2 linked regions of the Astyanax mexicanus genome follow. The protein of the gene in region 1 purifies or fractionates together with the protein of each later gene. This does not show direct contact. Links are inferred from orthologs where the notes say so. Each region holds a gene or a part of one and is shown on either strand. Other genes may lie near its edges.

The links.
Region 2: the proteins of spata5l1 (region 1) and timm13 purify together in Homo sapiens (co-immunoprecipitation; 3 studies listed by BioGRID and IntAct, with this or other methods). This does not show direct contact. The link is inferred for Astyanax mexicanus from reciprocal best matches to the Homo sapiens genes AFG2B and TIMM13.

Annotation. Positions count from the first base shown.
Region 1 is NC_064416.1:44,363,392-44,373,333, reverse strand, and holds the start of spata5l1 (spermatogenesis-associated protein 5-like protein 1), read right to left. Parts: upstream 4,273-9,942; 5' UTR 4,165-4,272; intron 2,708-4,164; 5' UTR 2,703-2,707; coding exon 1,527-2,702; intron 1-1,526. UniProt on the Homo sapiens protein: ATP-dependent chaperone part of the 55LCC heterohexameric ATPase complex which is chromatin-associated and promotes replisome proteostasis to maintain replication fork progression and genome stability.
Region 2 is NC_064423.1:26,850,176-26,860,037, forward strand, and holds timm13 (mitochondrial import inner membrane translocase subunit Tim13), read right to left. Parts: upstream 3,925-9,862; 5' UTR 3,783-3,924; coding exon 3,663-3,782; intron 2,361-3,662; coding exon 2,292-2,360; intron 1,579-2,291; coding exon 1,480-1,578; 3' UTR 772-1,479; downstream 1-771. Other genes in the region: rsph3 (radial spoke head protein 3 homolog), read left to right, coding at 5,541-5,653, 6,189-6,276, 6,375-6,516, 6,824-6,969, 7,650-7,853, 8,133-8,295, 8,403-8,489, 8,786-8,826. UniProt on the Homo sapiens protein: Mitochondrial intermembrane chaperone that participates in the import and insertion of some multi-pass transmembrane proteins into the mitochondrial inner membrane.

The sequences.
Region 1 (9,942 bases):
CCTGCAATTGATATCTGTACACTACTGTCTGAAAATTAATTTAAGTCTTTAAATCCTCTCAAAAAAAGCGAACTTTAGAAATACTTTAGAAATAAAAAATGGTTAGAATAAATCAATGCTCACTTTAATTTGCATGTAGCAAAATAAAAATATGAGATCTCTGTCAAACATAAACCTATAACCTATACACATATTACCAATATAAATAACTTTACATTACAACAGAGGCAGAGCTTCTTATTTTTTTGTAAACATATTTAACAGATCAAAACAAAAGTGCTTCAACCAGGATAGGGAATACAAAAAGCCTTCATATACATAAAGAGAACATGATATCCCTGTCAAATAAACAAACCTATATCAACTATAAATAACTTAGATACAACATAAACTACAAAAGTGCTTCAGATATTGTGTGTAGTGCTTGAAGTGGTGGAACAGACCGGACCGGAGCGCAGTCGAGCTTCATCGCGGGACATTCTAGGTGCGGAGCGGAGCTGAGATCCGCTCGGTTAGGGTCGGTTTCGCTTCATCGCGGGTGGGTTTTAGGTGCGGTGCGGAGCGGAGCGCGGCCGAGATCCGTTTGGTTAGGGTTGGTTTCTCTTCAATACGGGAGATTTTAGGTGCGGAGCGGAGCACAGCCGAGATCCGCTCAGCTAGGGTCGGTTTTGCTTCATCGCGGGAGGTTTTAGATGGGGAGCGCAGCCGAGCTTCATCGCGGGACATTTAGCAATGCGGAGTGGAGTGGAGCCGACCCAGGCCTAGCCTAGCCTAGCCACGTGCCTGTATGATTACGTCATTATGCACTGACGTAGCCCGGCTACGTAGGCTGTTTGTGTTCAGCTCTGCAGTGAACTGACACCTCAAAAAAAACGCCTGTCTGTGAAAGATTCTGAAAATAACACATATCGATACGCCACAAAAATGATATCACCGTTATTAAAACATTTCTTATCGTGATGAATACCGATATCAAAATATTGTCTAGGGCTACTTAAGATCCTCGTACACATCAGGATTAGAGATCAGACTTCTTCTGAAGAAGGGATCTGTATCTACTCTCCGTAGCAAGTCAGTAGGAAGATGGAAGTACAGCTATGCATCAGAGGCAAAAGCTTTTATGGATTTATTGCAAGTGACGGAGCCCTTAAACGGCTCACTCTAAAAGGGACTGAAACTGGTAAGAACAGAGGTGGTGGGATGCCTTTATGCTAGAGTGAATTTGTGCAAAGAACTTCATGAACTTGTTTTGTTTTGGCCATAGACCTGTTCTAACTTGTGTTTTTTACTGGAGGTAAAGTGGGTGGCTAGGGGCCACAGTTTAAGAATGAAAAAGTTTGAGAATTGTTGCAATGGGAAGCTTTAATCTATTAGTAGTGTAGAGATGACAGCGCAAATTTAGCGAAAATAGTTGTCTGATGCGAACCACACAACATTCAAGTACAATTTAAATGGATTTAATTAGACAACACTTCATGCATCCATGTGTTAAAAAGAAATTTTATTTTTAAAATTATGAACTTTACCTCTCTGTCGAACCGGCCAGGTCTCCTGAGGGCCGGGTCCAGTGTGTCAGGCTGATTGGTCGCTGCGATGATGATGAAACTTTCATCGCTGCCGATCCCATCCATGAGCGTCAGCAGCTGAGCTACGATACGATTTTCTGGAGTGCTGCCAGATTCACTCCTCCTCGGACAGAGAGCATCGATCTCATCAATAAACAAAACACATGGACCGTCCAGCGCCGCCGCCCGAGCACGGTCGAACGCCCTGCGCAGGTTCTCTTCGCTCTCTCCAGGGCGTGACCCCACCACCACAGGGCCGTTTATGGTCACCAGCGCTGCTCCGACTTTCTGCACCACATTTCGGACCAGCTGGGTCTTTCCCACCCCTGGCGGCCCCACCAACAGCGCCCCCCGTGGACAGGGCAGGCCTAGACGCTTTAAGCTGCCTGGATAGTGCAGCGGAACCGTTAGCATCTCTTTTAGAGAAGAAAGCACCTCCTCGACTCCGCCCAAGGGCACAGAAGGAGTCTTTCTCAAAGCCTGTCTGTACTTCTGAACTGTCTGAACCGAGCTCAAGTCCAGGCGGGTCTCGGCAGTGACCAGTCCAGCTTTTTGCGAGCCAGAGTTCACCTTCTCCACCTCTATGAACTGAATCTGAGTCCCAGCTCTCGCAACACTCACCAAGTGCTTCTCGTGCACATACAGACCCATCAGTAGCTCCTTTGCGAGCTCCTGAATGTACTGGATGGGCTCAGTTTCAGAACTCTGCACCAGAACCTTCACAGACAAGCGCTTAAGACGTGGGCAGGTTAGTGGCTTAATTTTCATCCTCTGGAGGCACTGGAGTTTCATTAAATTGATATTGAATCCAGCGTAGCTGTTTTCAGACTGAGGCGTTGGTTGGGTGCTGAGCTTCATTGCATCATAGTTGATGAGGTTTACTCCAGCGCAGGTGGTTTGGAACTGCAGGTATCCATTAGCGAGGTCACTCCGAGGCCATGCGGTGCAGAGGCAGGACCCCCGGGGCAGCAGGATGAGAAGCGGAGAACCCAGCTTCAGCCCCAGCTCCTCCATCACTGCAGGACCCAGACGACATCTCTGAGTGCCAGCGTCCACAGAGTCTGGCGGCAACACCACCAGATCTCCGTCTTCCACAGGAGGCATCTTCTGGATCTGGGGGGTTACAACAGCATCCATAAGACCTAGAACATAACACACAACAGGTCACAGAAGGGTCATATTATTCAGAGCAGATACAATTCACACAGCATACTTAAAACACAAACACATGATGCATTTAAGATGTTCTTACCATGTCAGAATTCAAATAGTTACAAAATTGTTTTGTAAGGCCCCCCCAGATATTTGGTCTTTGTCCATTCTTTGCTGAGCAGAGTGAAGATATTTTCAAACGTTCTGATTGGCTCTTTGAGTTATGTAAAACCATCAGATTGCTTTGAGCTGTTAGATAAAGAAGTGCACGTTCTGTCTGTGTGAACATTAGAAGCAGGTACAGTATCCCACAAAAGTGAGCACAGCCCTCACACATTTGTAAATATTTTATTATAACACTAAATATATGACACTTTGATACAGTGTAAAGTAGTCAGTGTACAGCTCTGTGGAGTCAAATGCTTGTCTCGCTGTGTCCTACCTGGAGAAAAATGAGAACAGCATCTAAGCAGCAAACACCAATTACTGTGTCTAACTTGTGCAATAGAGCATATGAGAAATCTGGGAATCTTTTTAAATACTTAAATATTAGGTGTTTTAGGTCCATTTATAGTGTTTACGGAACTATTTAAAATACCTAGTTTTAAGTAAGCCGTGTTAAAGTTGTTGGTGTATATCCTTTTTTTTTTTTTTTTCTATTTTTTCCCATTTGCTCCCCAATTTACACAGCCAATTACCCAACCCATTCATTAGGGACTTCCCCTATCACTAGCGATACCTCAACACACCAGGAGGGTGAAGACTAACACATGCTTCCTCAGATACATGTGAAGTCAGCCACCGCTTCTTTTCGAGCTGCTGCTGATGCAGCATTGCCGAGTAGCCAGCACGCTTGGAGGAAAGCACAGCGGCTCGGTTCTGGTACATCAGCTCACAGACGCCCTGTGCTGCAGACATCACCATAGGAGTGATGTGGGGAAAGAGCGCCATCTACCCACCCGGAGGGAGCTCCCTCTAACGCCAGCAGCTTGATGGCAAAGCTGCATGAGCTGGGGTTCGAACCGGCGACCTCCTGCTCATAGTGGCAGCGCTTTAGACCGCTGGACCACTCGGCGCCGGTGTATATCTTATATCTTTTAAGGTCTATAATTTAAATACTTCAGCTGTTTTTCTAATAATTAAGTCTGATTTCGTCATATATTATGTACTTTTGTGGGACAAAGTAAAAGCAACAGTAATCAAAGCATTAATTTAAAGACTTAATGTTTTATATTATATATATTTATATATATATATATATACTCCTAACAGTGTGGGTTATAAAGTGGAGAAAGTGACACTGTGCACTAGAGAGGGGCCCTAGTTAGACAGCTGATTTCTAATTAGAGCGCGACCTCCAATACACTACACACACAGCTCCGGCCACGCGCTCCGTATAAACACCCTGACTATATCCCACTGATCCAGTGATGATAATTAATCTTACCTTCAGCCGCCCCGCGCGGCTTCACTCCGCGACATGCTGCTGTGTTTACCTGTCCTGTAGGGAAAGCATGGAGCCCGCGCTCTTACTCTACCGCTGAGCAAACACTCACTGCTGCCCCCACCGGCCTGGAGTGAGAGCAGAAGCGAGGCTTTTGGGTAATCAAATCAAATGAATCAATTGGTTCGGAAAAAGATTCGATCTAGTGAGTCGTTCGAATCACTCCTTTATTACAGTGGCATCTGCTGGTCAATCAGGGTCATTATAACGACTCCTTTTCTGACTGTTTAAGGCTAAATGCAAAAATAGAAAATTGTATGTAAAAAAAAATCATTATTTCTTTTTTTATGTAGTGCAGTGTACAAGAAATAAGTTTTCATCCATTTTTCCAATTTATTTTTTCATCTCTGCACCTTACAAATGTATTTTTAGGGAAAAAAAGAACAAAGAATATATATTTTTCCTCATTTTTCCATTTTTGCATTTTGCAAGGATTATTATTATACCTTAAGATTTGTGTTGCAAGGTACACAATTTACAACTCTGAAAATTGAGAGAAGATTCACTTTTTCATTCTGTTTGCCAAAGGTTGAAATAAAAATTTATATAAATGACAAATTGGATGAATAACCATTTCTTCTTCATTCTACTGAATATAAAAAAAATAATGATTAAGTTCTATTACCAATTTTCTATTTTCGAATTTTGCTTGATGCAGTCACAGAAATTAAACTGCTAAACTTTACACTGACCAATTTATCTTTAAGACCAAAATTATCCCAGATCCCCCAATTAAGACTTCAAACCCCCTTAAGGGATAAAACAATAGTTTGGTCAAAACATTTAAATATACTTCAAACATATAAAGTTAAAAACTACAAAAACAATGTATCTGTGCCTGGAAGAATATTGTGATACGATTTCAATCTCCCCTAAAGTGGATCATACCATTCCATCTTAATAATAATCATTCCTCTTCTTTACCTGCTGCTGCCTCATTATTTGTCATGTGGCTAATTGTGTCTAGGTTAAGGTACACAAGCTGCTCGAGATACAGCATTACAAGTAAGTAGCTTCTATCTACTTATCTTTTTATAAATAAGCACTTTAAACACACTTTTCCTTACAGAAATAACTCACATGAATTTACTATCCCACCTTAAATGCTGCCAATTTACCATTCCGCCTTAAATGCTGCTGTAGCGGCACTCAGGCTTCAGGCGTTTTTAAGGTAGAACCGAAGATTCAAATGGGAATCCACGTTCTGTTTTATTTGAACTGTTTTTCTGTGATTTCTGCACAACCTGAGCAGAAATGTGTAAAACTTTTAAAACACTTTATTATCTACTACAGTCTAAAGAGGAAACTGTGTTTTAACGTAGAGAAAATGTGTTTTAATGCAGGGAAACTGTTAAGGTGGAATGGAAATGTGTTTTAAGGTGGAATGGAAATGTGAACAAGAAACTAAAAGCTTTATACGCTGCAGTGAGTTAGACCTAGTGAAGAATTAACATTAGTTACGCAGATGAGCAGTTGAGCAGATGAACAGTAAACTGGTTTATTACAATTTTTTAAAGGTAAGACTTATTTTCTAATCTTTTTACTATGCTACTTTAAAAATTAACAGTAGCCAAGCCTTTTAAATGGCTTTAGCCGAGCTATATAAATGCATTCCTACATATCTCCCCTTAACATTTAATATTGTAGTCCCAGAGTCAAAATATGTGGATGAGATGAGGAACAAAAGTCTTCTCTACAGGGTTTTTACATTGTTATTTTATATTTATTTAGAATGAAATAATACATGATTCCTGTGGGAGAGATCCTATAGAATATAAATTAAAATGTAATGGTAAGAAAGCTGATTAAAGATAGCATCTGATAGCATTGTGTCTGTGTGTTTTTGCAGGATTAACTGTGGATAATATATTATTTATATGTATAAAGGTTATTGTGTGGTATATAAGTGCTACATTAGCTGATGTTTATACATTAGTAATGGTTTTATATTTAATGTGTTGTAGACATTACAGTAAGGAAGTGAGACACTGTAAGGATTATAAGACTTCAGTTTAGTGAAGCAGCACCTAAGCTGTACTGGTTTCCATTTACACCCTGGGCCAGTTGGAGACATTTTAACTGTACAATCATCCACTTTTCTAGTTGATCATACTATTATTGATTGATCATGTGGTGTTTTTGTGCTGTTGGTTCCGTCATAAGACACTTTGCAAGAAGTTCTTTGCAGTTTTTACGTCAGATAAAGTCAAATAAAGTTGATATGTGAAATGGTCAGTGTGATCAGATTACTTTGTACGTGGTCTCTGTCATTTATATTTTCTTCTGGTCTGAATCTCATCCATATATGGTTGGTTGTAGTCAATTTGACAAAATGTGTTTTTTTAGTTTAGTTTTATAGAACATAAGGGAACGTAACCACAGCATACAGTAACAGAATGGAACTGTTGTGTCGCTCAGGCAGTGGTAAAAGTCTATAAACACTGTTGAGGATGTAGATAAGGTTCATAAGCTTTTTATCACGTGATCTGCTATTTATAGCAGAGATAGAGGGCCATGCTGAAACTGTGGAGAAGGAGAAAGCAAGGACAGTGTTTCTATTACACACCAGTATTCTGATAATACACCACCCATCTCTGTGTGTTTCCCTCTTCCAGAGGAGCCTGTGAGCAATACGAGTGGAAAAATCAACCAATCCTTTTATGGAGCGTGCCCTGCAGTTTCTCAGACCGTGTGTGTGTGTGTGTGTGAGTGATTGAGAGAGAGAGAGAAAGAGAGAGAGAGAGAGAGAGAGAGCGTTGTATAAAGAGCATTAAAGGGCTCATATCATAGATAAATGAAAAAAAAGATAATTAAAGAGTATTCTACAATGAGTATGATATATAACTATATATAACTAATCTACAAAAGCATCACCTTTGGAATAGAGTGTGTTTGTGATGTCACACAGTAAAATCCATAGTATTAAAAACACAATGAAAACATATTTTTCCCTTTTGAGTATTAACATATACTATTTCTATACTAGCATTAGTTAAATGTGTAATTTAATATTTTTTTTCTTTACAAACATGAATTAAGTAAAGAACTTAACTAATTTTAATAAATTACTTTTTATGTATAGAAATCAAAGATTTATGTTTATCATATGTACTGTTGTACAGTAAAAAAAAAATAATAGTTATTTCTTTTTTCATCCACCATCCAGTTAAAATATGTAATGTTAAAATTCTTTAAATGTTAAATGTATATTTTTAAACTTGATGTGAATATTTAAGTTGTAATACAAATGACATATCTGCACTGCATAATGCTATCTATTCTAATCGCCAGGTAACATATAAATATAAAATCACACACACACACAGGACTTAAAGGAAGAACAAGAATAAAAACTCTCTACATAAAAAAAGTAATTAAAAATGTAACCAAATGGGCACAGAGTGTTCCAGCACTCTAAAGTGCTGCCAATATGATTGGAAGATTGCTGGTTCAAATCCAGCTTGCCATCAGCTGCCGGAGCTCTGAGAGCACAGTTGACCTTGCTTGCTCTGGGTAAGTAGATAGCATTCTCTCCCCACATCACTTTAAAGGGTGATGTTGATCAGCACAAGGCCTCTGTGAGCTGATGTATCAGAACCGAGTCGCTGCGCTTTCTTCCGAGTGTGCTATGATGCTACTCAACAATGCTGGATCAGCAGCAGTTAAAAAAAGACGGAGTCTGATTTTGCATGTGTCGAAAGAGGCGTGTGCTGGTTTTTTACCCTCCTTGTGTTGTGGCATCATCAGTGATGGGGGGGATATACAGCTGAATGTGTGGGAAAATTGGCCTAGCTAAATTGGGAGAAAAACAGGAGAAAATTTAAGTAAAATTATTGGAAAGAATCCATTCCACACGATCGATAGGAGAATACACATACCACTGAAAGCAGGAGGAGGTGAAATCAGCCCCATTACCATCTCACAATGTCCAATTTTTACTAAAACCTATTTTTTTTGGGTTATATGCCCATGTTCTTTTTTCTTTTTTTTTCCATGTTTAGCTGTTTTATTTTTTCAACTTTTTAGCTATATTCCCTCTATCACTAGTAATGCCCCAACACCAGAAGGGTGAACTGAACTGAACTGCTGCTGATGTAGCATTGTCTAGTAGCATCACAGCGCTAACACTCCGAGAAAAGCGCCTTGTGCTGATCAACATCACCCTAAGAGTGCCATCTACGCACCCAGAGAGAGCAAGGCCAATTGAGCTATCTTGGACTCTGGCAGCTGATGGCAAGCTACATGATCGGGATTTCGAAGCACCACTCGGAGCCTGTTAAATGAACGTTCAATAAAACAATTGAATATTAGGAGTAAACTTTGACTTATTTACGGAACAATGTTATTCCTAGTTATTCCCAGTAATCGTGTATTAGCAACAGGCTGGTAAATATATGGACTAGAGAAATGAGGACTTGTTGAATTGTTGAATCTGTCTGTAAAATAGTCATTCATTTAAGTCTCTTTTATAAGTAAAATTATGTGTATTTTTAACACCAGAATGGTGTAAATTGCATCTAATTCATAAAAAAAATTATGCCCCCAACACCCCCCCATGGAATGTTCTCAGAACATTCCTGGAACATATTAAAGCAATCATACGCTAGAGGTTCGTGCTATAATGTGTAAAATTGGCCCTGCTGTGCTGCAGTCGCGCCTGTATTAAACAAGTATATTATTGCGATTATACCACAGTTCCAGTATCGCTGTTTAATGTAGGATTTTGAGTTAAAAAGAACAAGAAAATATGATCTGTTTGGTTATAAAACAGTCAGGCTGGCTTGAAAACACTGCATCGTTGCTAGGTTACCTGTTTGTGGTGCAGTAATACATGAAGAGCTTCAATTACAGTGCATTACTGGCTGATAATGGCATTCACAGAAAGCCCCTCGGCCAATCACATTGCAGGTTCGGAACTAACTGTGGTATAATATACTGTATAATATAACATTACGTGCAAAAAAAATAATAAACGTTTTTATAACGTTCTCTGTTCGCTGGGGAGTATAGACACAGTGATCTGAGTTTGTTATTGTAAGGTCAAATTTCCAGATTTTGCTTGAAGGTGGGTAAAACTAAGTTAAGAGACTCAAAATGAGGAGTACTAAAAGTTTAGATTAGATTTAAGATGGATTCACTTGCTCAGGGATCATTTTTCACTGTGTGACTGTGAGTATGACTGGAGGCCCTACGCCTGTGTGTGTGTGTGTGTATGTGTGTGTGTTTGTATGTGCGCATGTTAGAGTTTCTTGGCACTGCGCTCCAGTTCTTCGTCATGCTGTGAGTTCTCGCGTTGTCGTCTCTCTGTGTGTAAGTGTGTGTGTGTGAGAGAGTGTGTGTGTGAGCCGGCTGTGTCCTGCTCTCCCTCTAATGTCACAGGGGCCGTGGGCAGGCCTGCAGGCGGAGAAGGGCTCTGAGAAGAAGGACAGCATATAGATAAAAAGAAAAAAAGGCAGATAGAGAGGAATAAAGAGGTAGAGAAAGAAGAAGATGAGCACAGGTGTCTAAAAAGAGCTAAAAAGAGCTGCCTTAGATCTTCTGCCTACAGGACGCAGGCCGGCACGGTCAGAAGAGTGTGTAGAGTGTGTGTGTGGAGTGTGTGAGGCATGTCCGTGCTGCTCCGCCGAGTGCCCTTGCTCCCACAGGAGGCCCTGTGGAAAATCAAACATTTCCATAACGCTCCTGCACTGTGGAACCAACAGGCTGCTAAAGGTAGGAGAG
Region 2 (9,862 bases), on another chromosome or scaffold:
CCGTGCCCCCAGGGGGACAGTGTAACATCCACATGAGGACAAGACAAACGAAAGCACAGACACACGGCACACAGGCTTTCTGAAACAGAGTCGGCTCAGTCTCACCAGTGGAAAACGGCCATTACCACGAAACAGGAGGAATGAACATGTCCTGTTGTTACCCATAATTCCCTAGGGGGGCATATTTAGGCCTATTACTACTTTATAGCAGTTACTGGAGCTTAGTCCTGGACTTTTTTCAATTAAACAGCTGTGTAGTCTAAGGCTATTCTGATGCTGTCACACCTACCTTGTTTGGTCCAGACTTTCAGACTTCTGGTCTGAACAAAAATAGCAGGTGTGAAAGGGACCTCGAATCACGATCCAGACCATTTGGGGGGGGGGGGGGGGGGGGGGTTTGTTGAATTTGTACAGTAAAAGTTTTTTTGGATTTGTTCAGACCAATTACAGAAAGTTGAGGCAAACTACCATCACCTCATCCATAAAGCAGAACAAGAATTGGCATGAGAAATTAGACTCCCTTTCACATGCACTTGTGTCTCACAGCAGAACAGCACATCACATTACACACCGGCAGTTCCTATACCTACTGTAGGGTTATGCTCATTCTGTGGAATAAAGCATGTACACTAAAAGGGAGTGGGATTCTGGTGGAGAGTGAAGAATTGAAAATTGTTCTGTAATATCAGATGTGAAAACATCCCTTAAGTCCCCAAGTTCTCCTCATGAAATCCACTTCTAGAGTTAAAAGATGTTAAACAAGGCACAAAATGAATATTTAGACATATTTGTTTATTTAACATTTACTCCTACTCTTTTTCATGTTAAATCAGGTGCTTTACTGTTTCATAGCAGCTGTTTCCAGACTGGCCAAGCTTTCCAGAGCACCATAAAATGCTTCATTGCCAAGTTGTAAGAAGACAGGTCATGTGCATTTAAAAAATAAAACATATTACATTTTAATGAAATCAGGATAGACTGAATGCAATTTGTTCTATCTGTTCAATGTTCTATAAAGCTTGTCCAACAGTTGGAAACAGCTGCTACACAACACTCTTCAGTGCAGACATGGCTAGGACAATACACTGCCTTACTGAACCAAAAGGCAGTAACTGTGACAACAGTTTAACTGAGACAAATATAGTTCTGACGTAGCAGAGGTGTCACAAGATGAACCTGATCCTCAAACATCTGACTTAATACTAACTCAATTTTAACCAAACCTGAAATGATTATTCTGCCTCTGTACAGCAATATAATAATCAAATACCTTCCATGAGTGTAACTGTCCACCCACATTCAACATGCCTAAGGGGGGGAAAAAGGAAATAACTTGGGTCTAAAAGTCAGAATCTCCCGATTCCTTGGATGGTTCTCCAGTTCTGGGTGTTACAGGGGCGGGGCTGATCCACTGGTACCCCAAGCCTCTATACCCAGGGATTCAGGTTAACACTGAGGTCCAACTGGATGGATTCTGCATTACATTCGCGCCCTTTCCCTCTGAAGTCTAGAGTTATAGGCGCGAGAGACTGTGTTCCATGCATCCATATACCGGTCCATGCACATGGCGATGCATTTCTGCAAAAAAAAACAAAATAACAATTTTAGAAACTCAGAAACCGTCTGTAAATAAATTGAAAAAGAGGGTGGGATACACTAGTAAGCAAGGGAATAGTCAGTTCTTAAACTTAAGGCAAGTATGAGGGTCTGAGTCAGCATAAAAAAGCCTAATCTGACTGATAGATGAATGGGTCAGAGCATCTCAAAAACATCAGGCAGGTCTATTGGGGGAACCCAGGATGCAATTGTCAGTACCTACCAAAAGGTGCTCCAAAGAAGGTTAGTGAACCGTGAAACGGTGAACTGGTGACAGGGATATGGGCGCTAAAGGCTCACTGATGCTCATGAAGGCCCACTTCACAACTTACAGGACTGCTGTTAATGTCTTGGTGGCAGATACCACAGGACACCTTCAGAGGTCTTATGGAGTCCATGCCTTGACTGGTCAGAGCTGGTTTGGTGGCATGACAATATTACAAAAAATGTTTTAAATGCTATGGCTGATTTATATATATAAAAAAAAAAACAGCTTTTGTCAATGACCGTGAAAGTGCATAATATGACTGCATTTATTATAATTAGAAATCATAAAAGTAGAAAAATAAAATTGTCTTTTTCCCAATAAAACAAAAATGCAAAATCTGTTGTGTCATGGTGAACCTTGCAGGAATAAATGTATCATATATGCATGTACACATACACAAGTAAAAAAGAGAAAAACTGATTCCTACCTGTTCTGAATTGTCCAGTGTGCTTCCAGGCTTGCCAATGCACTTCTTGAAGCACTTATCTGTCATTCTCTGAGAAAATAATACATAACAAATCGATACCTTGGTTGGGTCTACAATCAAATACAAGTGTGCCAATATCAGACTGAGGACACCTTTAAACCAAAGTTAGTTATCCAGTTATTTCCCCAAAAGGGCTGGTGTCACTGAAGGTTTTTATTCCAGCCAAGCAGAAACACAGCATGTCTGTCATCTGTTTAAAGACAGGCCCAATTAATAACAAATAGAATCAGGTCTACAGCTATTTTTTAGAATGAAAACCTGAAAACCAACCCTTTGTGGGTAAGAAGTGATGATACTTCTACTGCACTCCAAATATATATAGGACTGAAGTAAAATAAATCAGATATAATTCATCTCTAGTAGCTATAATGGGAAACGAGAAATTAGATTTATTTTTTTTGGCTAAAAGCAGCAGAATATAATATTGTTTACGATATTCAAATATTATGGAGATATTATTATATATGTTACGATATGGCACACCCCTAGTTAGTGTATTCCTTTACAAATAAAATTTACCGCTTAAGAGTTTCTATGATTTGCCCAAATTGAAAACCTCTGGAACATAATCAAGTGGAATATGGATGATCATAACCATCAAACCAAGCTGAACTGCTTGAATTTTTGCACCAGGGGTGGCATAAAGTTATTCAAAAGCAGTGTGTAAGACTGGTGGAGGAAAACATGACAAGATGCATGAAAACTGTGTTAAAAAACAGGGTTTTCCGCCAAATATTGATTTCTGAACTCTTAAAACTTTATGAATATAAACTTTTCTTTTCATTATTTGAGGTCAGAAAGCTCTGCATATTTTGTTATTTCAGCCACTTCTCATTTTATGCAAAAAAAATGCTCTTAATGACAATATTTTTATTTGGAATTGGGGAGAAATGTCTGTAGTTTATAGAATAAAGCAACAATGTTTATTTTACTCAAACATCTACCTATAAATAGCAAAATCAGAGAAACTGATTCAGAAAATGAAGTGGTCTCTTAATTCTTTTTCCAGAGCTGTATACTACATTACTGTACTGTTTCAATGAGTTTTGAATGTCCCCTTTAACTGCTGGATTATTTAGAGCACAGCAGCTCAGGAGAAACAGAGGTTTCAGTAATGAATGACTATGAATGACTCATTACTCTTTGATTAATATGTTTGTTTCCCAATTGGCTGTTTGGTTCCACCTTATCTGATGCAGTTGTTTTGTGGGTAACTAGCTGTATTTAATCTGTAATGTGGAGATTGTAATGAGCAGCTAGGCTAGGCTAGTGCTGGGTTATTTAGCCTGAGCGTGTGATCTGTGCTGTTACCTGCAGGAGCTCCTGAGCGTTCGCCACCGCTATCTGCACCTTCACCTGCTCCATTATAGTGCCCGTGTCCATTTTCCCGGACCCCGCCGCGGAGGAGTAATCTGAACCGAAGCTGTCCATATTTCTGTGTTTATTAATAAACCCTAATTCGCTAAAACTGCCCTGTATCCGGCTTTACTCCCTCCGTGAGGCTCTCACATGGACTGTTTCCCCTAATGCCCTTCAGATGCACCGGAGGAACTGCTTACACTGCTTCCGCAGACAGAGGGTTTATGGGAAATGAAGTTTCTTTCTTTCTTTTTTGCAGCAGCAGACTGGGTCACTTTCTTATAAGGACGAATTATTAAGTCACAGATTCAGCTAAAACATTATTTTAAATGCTCCTTCTTTAAGGTAACACTGGGATTTAGTATGTAATGTAATGTAAGAATAATGGAAGAGGAGTAACGAGGCGATTTTAACAGATAACTTTGTGAAAATGTGAGGAGTAGGTGTACAGATAATTGTGTGAAGAATTATTACTCCAGTAAAGTATAGCTAACCAATATTTATTCTTAGGTAAGGTAAGCATTTGTACTTAGTTACTTGACACCTCTGTCTAAAATGTAGAAAGTAATAAAAATAAAGAAAAAAAACATTAACTAAGAAGGGAGATCTGGTACTGTATCTGACTGTATTCATGACAAAATGTACTCATGCATTAACCATTAAAATGCACAAATTATTAATGAAATTTTTATTAAAGCATAACTTTTTGACATACAAGTTTTTGTTCAGACGACAATATATTAGCTACGTGTTTTTTGTTCTACGCGTAAAAACTGGAACAAATCTTCCACAGGAAACACTTACAATACATGCTGCACACATCATTACAAGGTATGACAAAGAAATAGGGAGAAAAAATAAACCTTTGAACATTTGATTAATACATACATACCTGGCATACATATTGTTTTCAGGCTTGTTTATGAGTTCTGAGTTTAAGGGAATTAAAAATTTCAGTAAAAGTATGATAACAGTTTGTTAAACACTGTCTGTGCTGTCATGGAAATTACGATAGTGACTTATTGTACATTATACCACAGTTTGTTCCGACCCTGCAATGTGATTGGCTGGGAGGCGTTCTGTGAGTGTATTACTCCGCCACATACAGGTAACATTAGCAATGATGCAGCGCTTACCAGTTAAACAGCGCAGCTACAAACAAAGCAGCAATGGAACTATTTATAAACACCACTCGCGAAGTGTTTATAACCGAACATATCGCATTTTCTGTCCTTTAGAACTAAAAATATGTTCGCAAAGAAATACAAATATTACTACAATTGTAACTCCAGTGTCTCTATAAGAACAGTATTTTATATAAACAGCAGAGGGCGGTATAACCCAGGTTCTCACCTGTAGTAGTGATGGGATCTCCGGCTCTATTTTGAGATGAGCCGGCTCTTTCAGCTCCCCATATATATTTTTTACATATTTTTACATAATATTTACATATTAATTAATTAATAGCCTAACCTAATTTTATAACATTTTGTTTCATTATGGATGGACAGCGAGACACCGAAGGACAAAAACTGTCGGCTCTGTGACACGACAGGGAGGCGGAGAGACAGCGAGATACTGAAGGAAAAAACGACTCCCAAAAAGGATCCTAAAACGGCTCCCATTGTGGAGCCGGTTCCAATCGAGTCGGCTCTTACAGCCGGATCTTTCGCGAACGACAGGTCACTAACCTGTAGCGGTCACTGTTGCCTAGAAACCACCACTAACAACAGCAGCAGCAGAGGTTTCTTACATGGTTTACTCAGCTGCGTCTTTTTATTTATATTATCATTAAATATTATATTTTAACAGATATTTTACTGAACAAGAATGGCTTCGGCGTTACAGCCCTACAACCAGGATCCAAACGGAGCGTATGTGTTCTCTAGTCGACCACGGCCTGCTCCAACGCGCCTCAAATACAAGGACCCTGCGGTGATTCAGTAAGACATAAACTATTAATTCACCTGACATAACTTAACTATTTACAGCAGAGTAAAACCAGCCAACCGTGACTTTATTTGCTAAAGTAAAATCTGACTGAAATATCTGTACTGCATTTTACTAGAGTCAACTATGAGAGTTTATTATATGGTTAACTATATTTGACCAACATTCACTTATTGTTTTTCTATCTTTCGCTCTTTTTTACTTTGTCTAATAGTGTATCTAATGTAATAATAATAAAATGTAGCTAAAAAGTCAACTGACTTGCTAACTTAATAATATTTTACCATTCAGTAAATAATTATATAGAAATACTTCAATCAAAGTGGGTTGTGGATCAAATAATAATAATAATAATAATAATAAACAGTTCATTGATAATCTTTTAAATAAGAATGTGTAGTAGAAATTAATGTTTTAGTGAAATAGCTTTTTTATAATTTATTAATAAGTGACATAAGTTTGTATAACTAATTGTGTATATATATATATATATATTTTTTTTTTTTTTTTTTTTTTTATTGTATGCAGAAATGAAGAATTATATGTATATGGAAACATTATGTACGATCGGCGTGTTGTCAGAGGAAATACCTATGCACAACACACTCTGCCACTTGTAAGTGACATTATTTATCTGCTGTACAATATAGCTACATAAGGTGTCACTTGATCACTTTGTCTAAAATCAGCTATTTAAAAACCTGTGTGTAACAGAGGTCACAGCCTGACCCTGCTGAGCTTCAAAAACAGCAAGAGACCAGAAGGAGAGCCCTGGCAAGAAAGAGAGCTAAAGAGCAGTTCCGCTTATTAACCCCAGAAGCACTTGAAGGGAGGAAACACACGGATGTGCAGACTGGTGAGCATTATGTGTTTTAGAAAGAGACGATTACTGTGGTGCTGCTGCTTCTTGTTAATATTGGCAGGAAGAGGTTAGTCATCAACATTACACCCTTTCGCTGTACATTAATTTTCGACTCAATGGAGTAGCTGAGCTGCAGTAGAAATGACAATAACAGCACTTTTACTGGTGAAACATTTTACTTACAAGGCAAACTGGTTATAGAATGAAAGGGAATGGACCTAAAGCCTTAATGTTTTGTACAGTCAATGAGTCAAAAAGTATTTAAAAAATAATTGTAATCTATATTTGATTTGTGGCTTAGAGCTGTACTTGGAGGAGCTGAGTGATCATCCTGAAGATGCCAGTGTGGGATGTCAGACTGATGCATTCCTAGACAAACCAGCCACTCCTCTCTTTATCCCTGCCAAGTCTGGAAAAGATGTAGCCACACAAATAGAGGAAGGAGAGGTACAGACCGAACACATTTATTGTTTTTTAAAATGTATTTAACATTACCAGAGCCTAGCATAGCAGTCATGTTATTTGTGTACTCCTTTCAGGTACTGGGGTAGAGACTACTAAATAATCTACAGTGTACTAAAGGCCTCTGAGACTTTTTTTAGAAAGAATTACATACACTCTAAAAAACAGAGGTACAATATGAGTACTTTTTTGTACTCAAAGGTACACTCTTCATAATCATACCTTTAAAGGTACAATATTGCTCTTTACAGGGTCAGATTTGTTCCCTCTGAAGTACAAAGTCATTCCTAACAGCAATAAGTACAATTTTTTACCATTTAACCAGAAAAAAGGTACATTCAGTATTCTGTATCACTGTACTAATAAACAATATATATTTTATTTGCACATTTTTTATTTGAAAGCCAGACAATTTTGGATCATCAAGTTTCTGAGCCATATTTAGTTGATGATAATGTTTATAATCTTTATAATCTTTACTGGCACAAAAACCATGGGTACAAAAAAGGACTTTTACTGAAAGGTACTTTTTTGTACCTCAATATAAGGTACAGCCCCAGCGACAAGCTTTGTACTCTTTTAAGTACAAATCAGTACTTACATTTCTTAGTGTGTAGCTTTATTCTTACTCTTCATTAGTCTAAATCTTTCCATTCTTTTTACAGCTGTTTTACTTTGACACAGAGGTGCAGCCTGTGTTAGAGGTGCTGATAGGAAAGACCATGGAACAGGCTCTGTTGGAAGTTCTGGAAGAGGAAGAGCTGGCATCCCTGAGGGCTCAACAGCGTGCCTTCCAGGAGCTGCGTAATGCTGAAATTGTGGAGGTACAGCGACTGGAGGAACAGGAGAGGCGCCACCGAGAGGAGAAGGTAACCTCACCTGAATTATGAGCTTTTATGATCTAGTATCTTCCTAGTAAGCCAAGATCTACAGTTTTGCTAATTAATTTTATTTATTCATTGCTCTATTCTTTTTTTTATGTGTTCATAATACTAACCAGTACTACAGGTTTGTTCCCATGGATGATTTTGTTGCCTGTGTGATGCCCCAGGAGGCCATAAATAGAAAATCAAAAAACATAAATTGGCACAATATGGCCATAATATCCCTTCAGCTCTTCAGACTTGTGTGTTGCTTTCCTGATGTAGGTACGCAGACTTAAGCAGCAGAGAGAAGTCTTGGAGAATGAGAGAGTAATAGCAGAGAAAATAGCAGCTAGAGTATTTGCTCAGCAATACCTGGCTGACCTGCTGCCCTCCGTCTACAACACTCTGAGAGACCAGGGCTATTTCTACGACCCAGTGCAGAGAGGTGCTTCATATCCTTTTAAAATACGGCATTTGAAGATTACACAGTTAAACATCTATTAAATCAGTCTATGTTCTTTATTTTAATATATTCTTTCCATTGTATCTCAGATATAGAGACAGGATTCCTCCCCTGGCTGATGGCAGAAGTGGACAGTGCTTTGAAGAAACGAGAGATTGTGCTTACAATGCTTGACAGTGAGTTTAGAATTTTGTGTTTTCCTTTATACATAGACACTTTGTATTTTTACACTGTAAAAGTTAAGAATTAGCATAGAGAATGAGCTTCCAAGTGGGTCCCTACACCTTACACTGTTTACCAATGTTCTGTTGTGCTTCTCTGTGTACACTGTGTTGCAGTGTTGTGCAATATTTAAAACTCGTCAAAACATAATCAGTTCTCCAGCTTATGCTGGAGTAAACCTTTATGTTTCTTTTCTCAATATTTTAGAGAAGTGAATCTGCTTAACCTTATCTTTACTGCTCTATTACAGCCCTCATCTATGATGTGGCCAACAGCAGACAGGAGACGTAGATTTGGAATGTAGACCCTCTTCCTCTGTTGGTAAATTTACACTTTACTCAATATTTTTTTATCAGGAGTTTGACCATTAGAGGGTTATTAAAAAATACTAGTAAACATTATTTCAACAAGACATAGTGCATCTTAAAGGTCAGAGCTTATAGTTTATTTACACTCTATTTGTTTTAACTTGTTTAAGCATTAAATGTGTTTTTTTTTTAATTAATCACATTTGCAGCTTTAACCCTGCCTGCTACAACTGTTATCTGTTATTCTATTTATGGAATAAATAAATATTCAAGAATGTAAGAATTACCCAAATCTTTTGTCTTTTAATTTTTTATTTTCATGTTACAGGTCACGTCTGAGATATGATTTGAGAAACCAGTACCTTAAAGCTGTAAATAAAACATTGTGTGATATCATTTGTGTCTTGTTTGTTCATAATTGTAAAGCTGTGCACAAATGATCTAACAGCAGGAAATGGTGTAATTTCTTAATTATGCATTGGGTATGTATGCAGGGCTGTGCAGAGCTGTGCAAATATCTAGAAAGGAAAATTTCCAGACTTGAGACTAAATGCATGTTGAATGTTGAAGACACCGTTGTCCACCCAATGAATTTTTTGATTGGTGTATTATTGCATGATGATCAAATCTGGGATGAAGCAGTTTAGTTTACTTTCATAATAAAGAGAAATAGTGTGAGAATAAGTAATGTTTAAAAAAACACGATTGCAAAAAAAATCTAATAAATAATGTACTTGATAATGGAAACCTAAAATATTAGGTAAGAAATGGTGGAGTTAAAGTTGCACTAGAGTCTGCCCCCAGAGGGCGCCAGAGTCATTTTGACTTTACTATTCAGCCGCTGTCGTCCTGTGAATAGTAAATGATATATAGTTAAAAAAAGTGAGGGTGATTTTTTTTCATTGGTTAAAAGCTTGCAGCTGGTGAGTAGCAATGGAAATAAACTGAGCTTTGGAAATGGATTTTAAAAATGTCATTTTCCAAAGCTTTTGTTAGTTAAATAGTTGTAAATACACTTT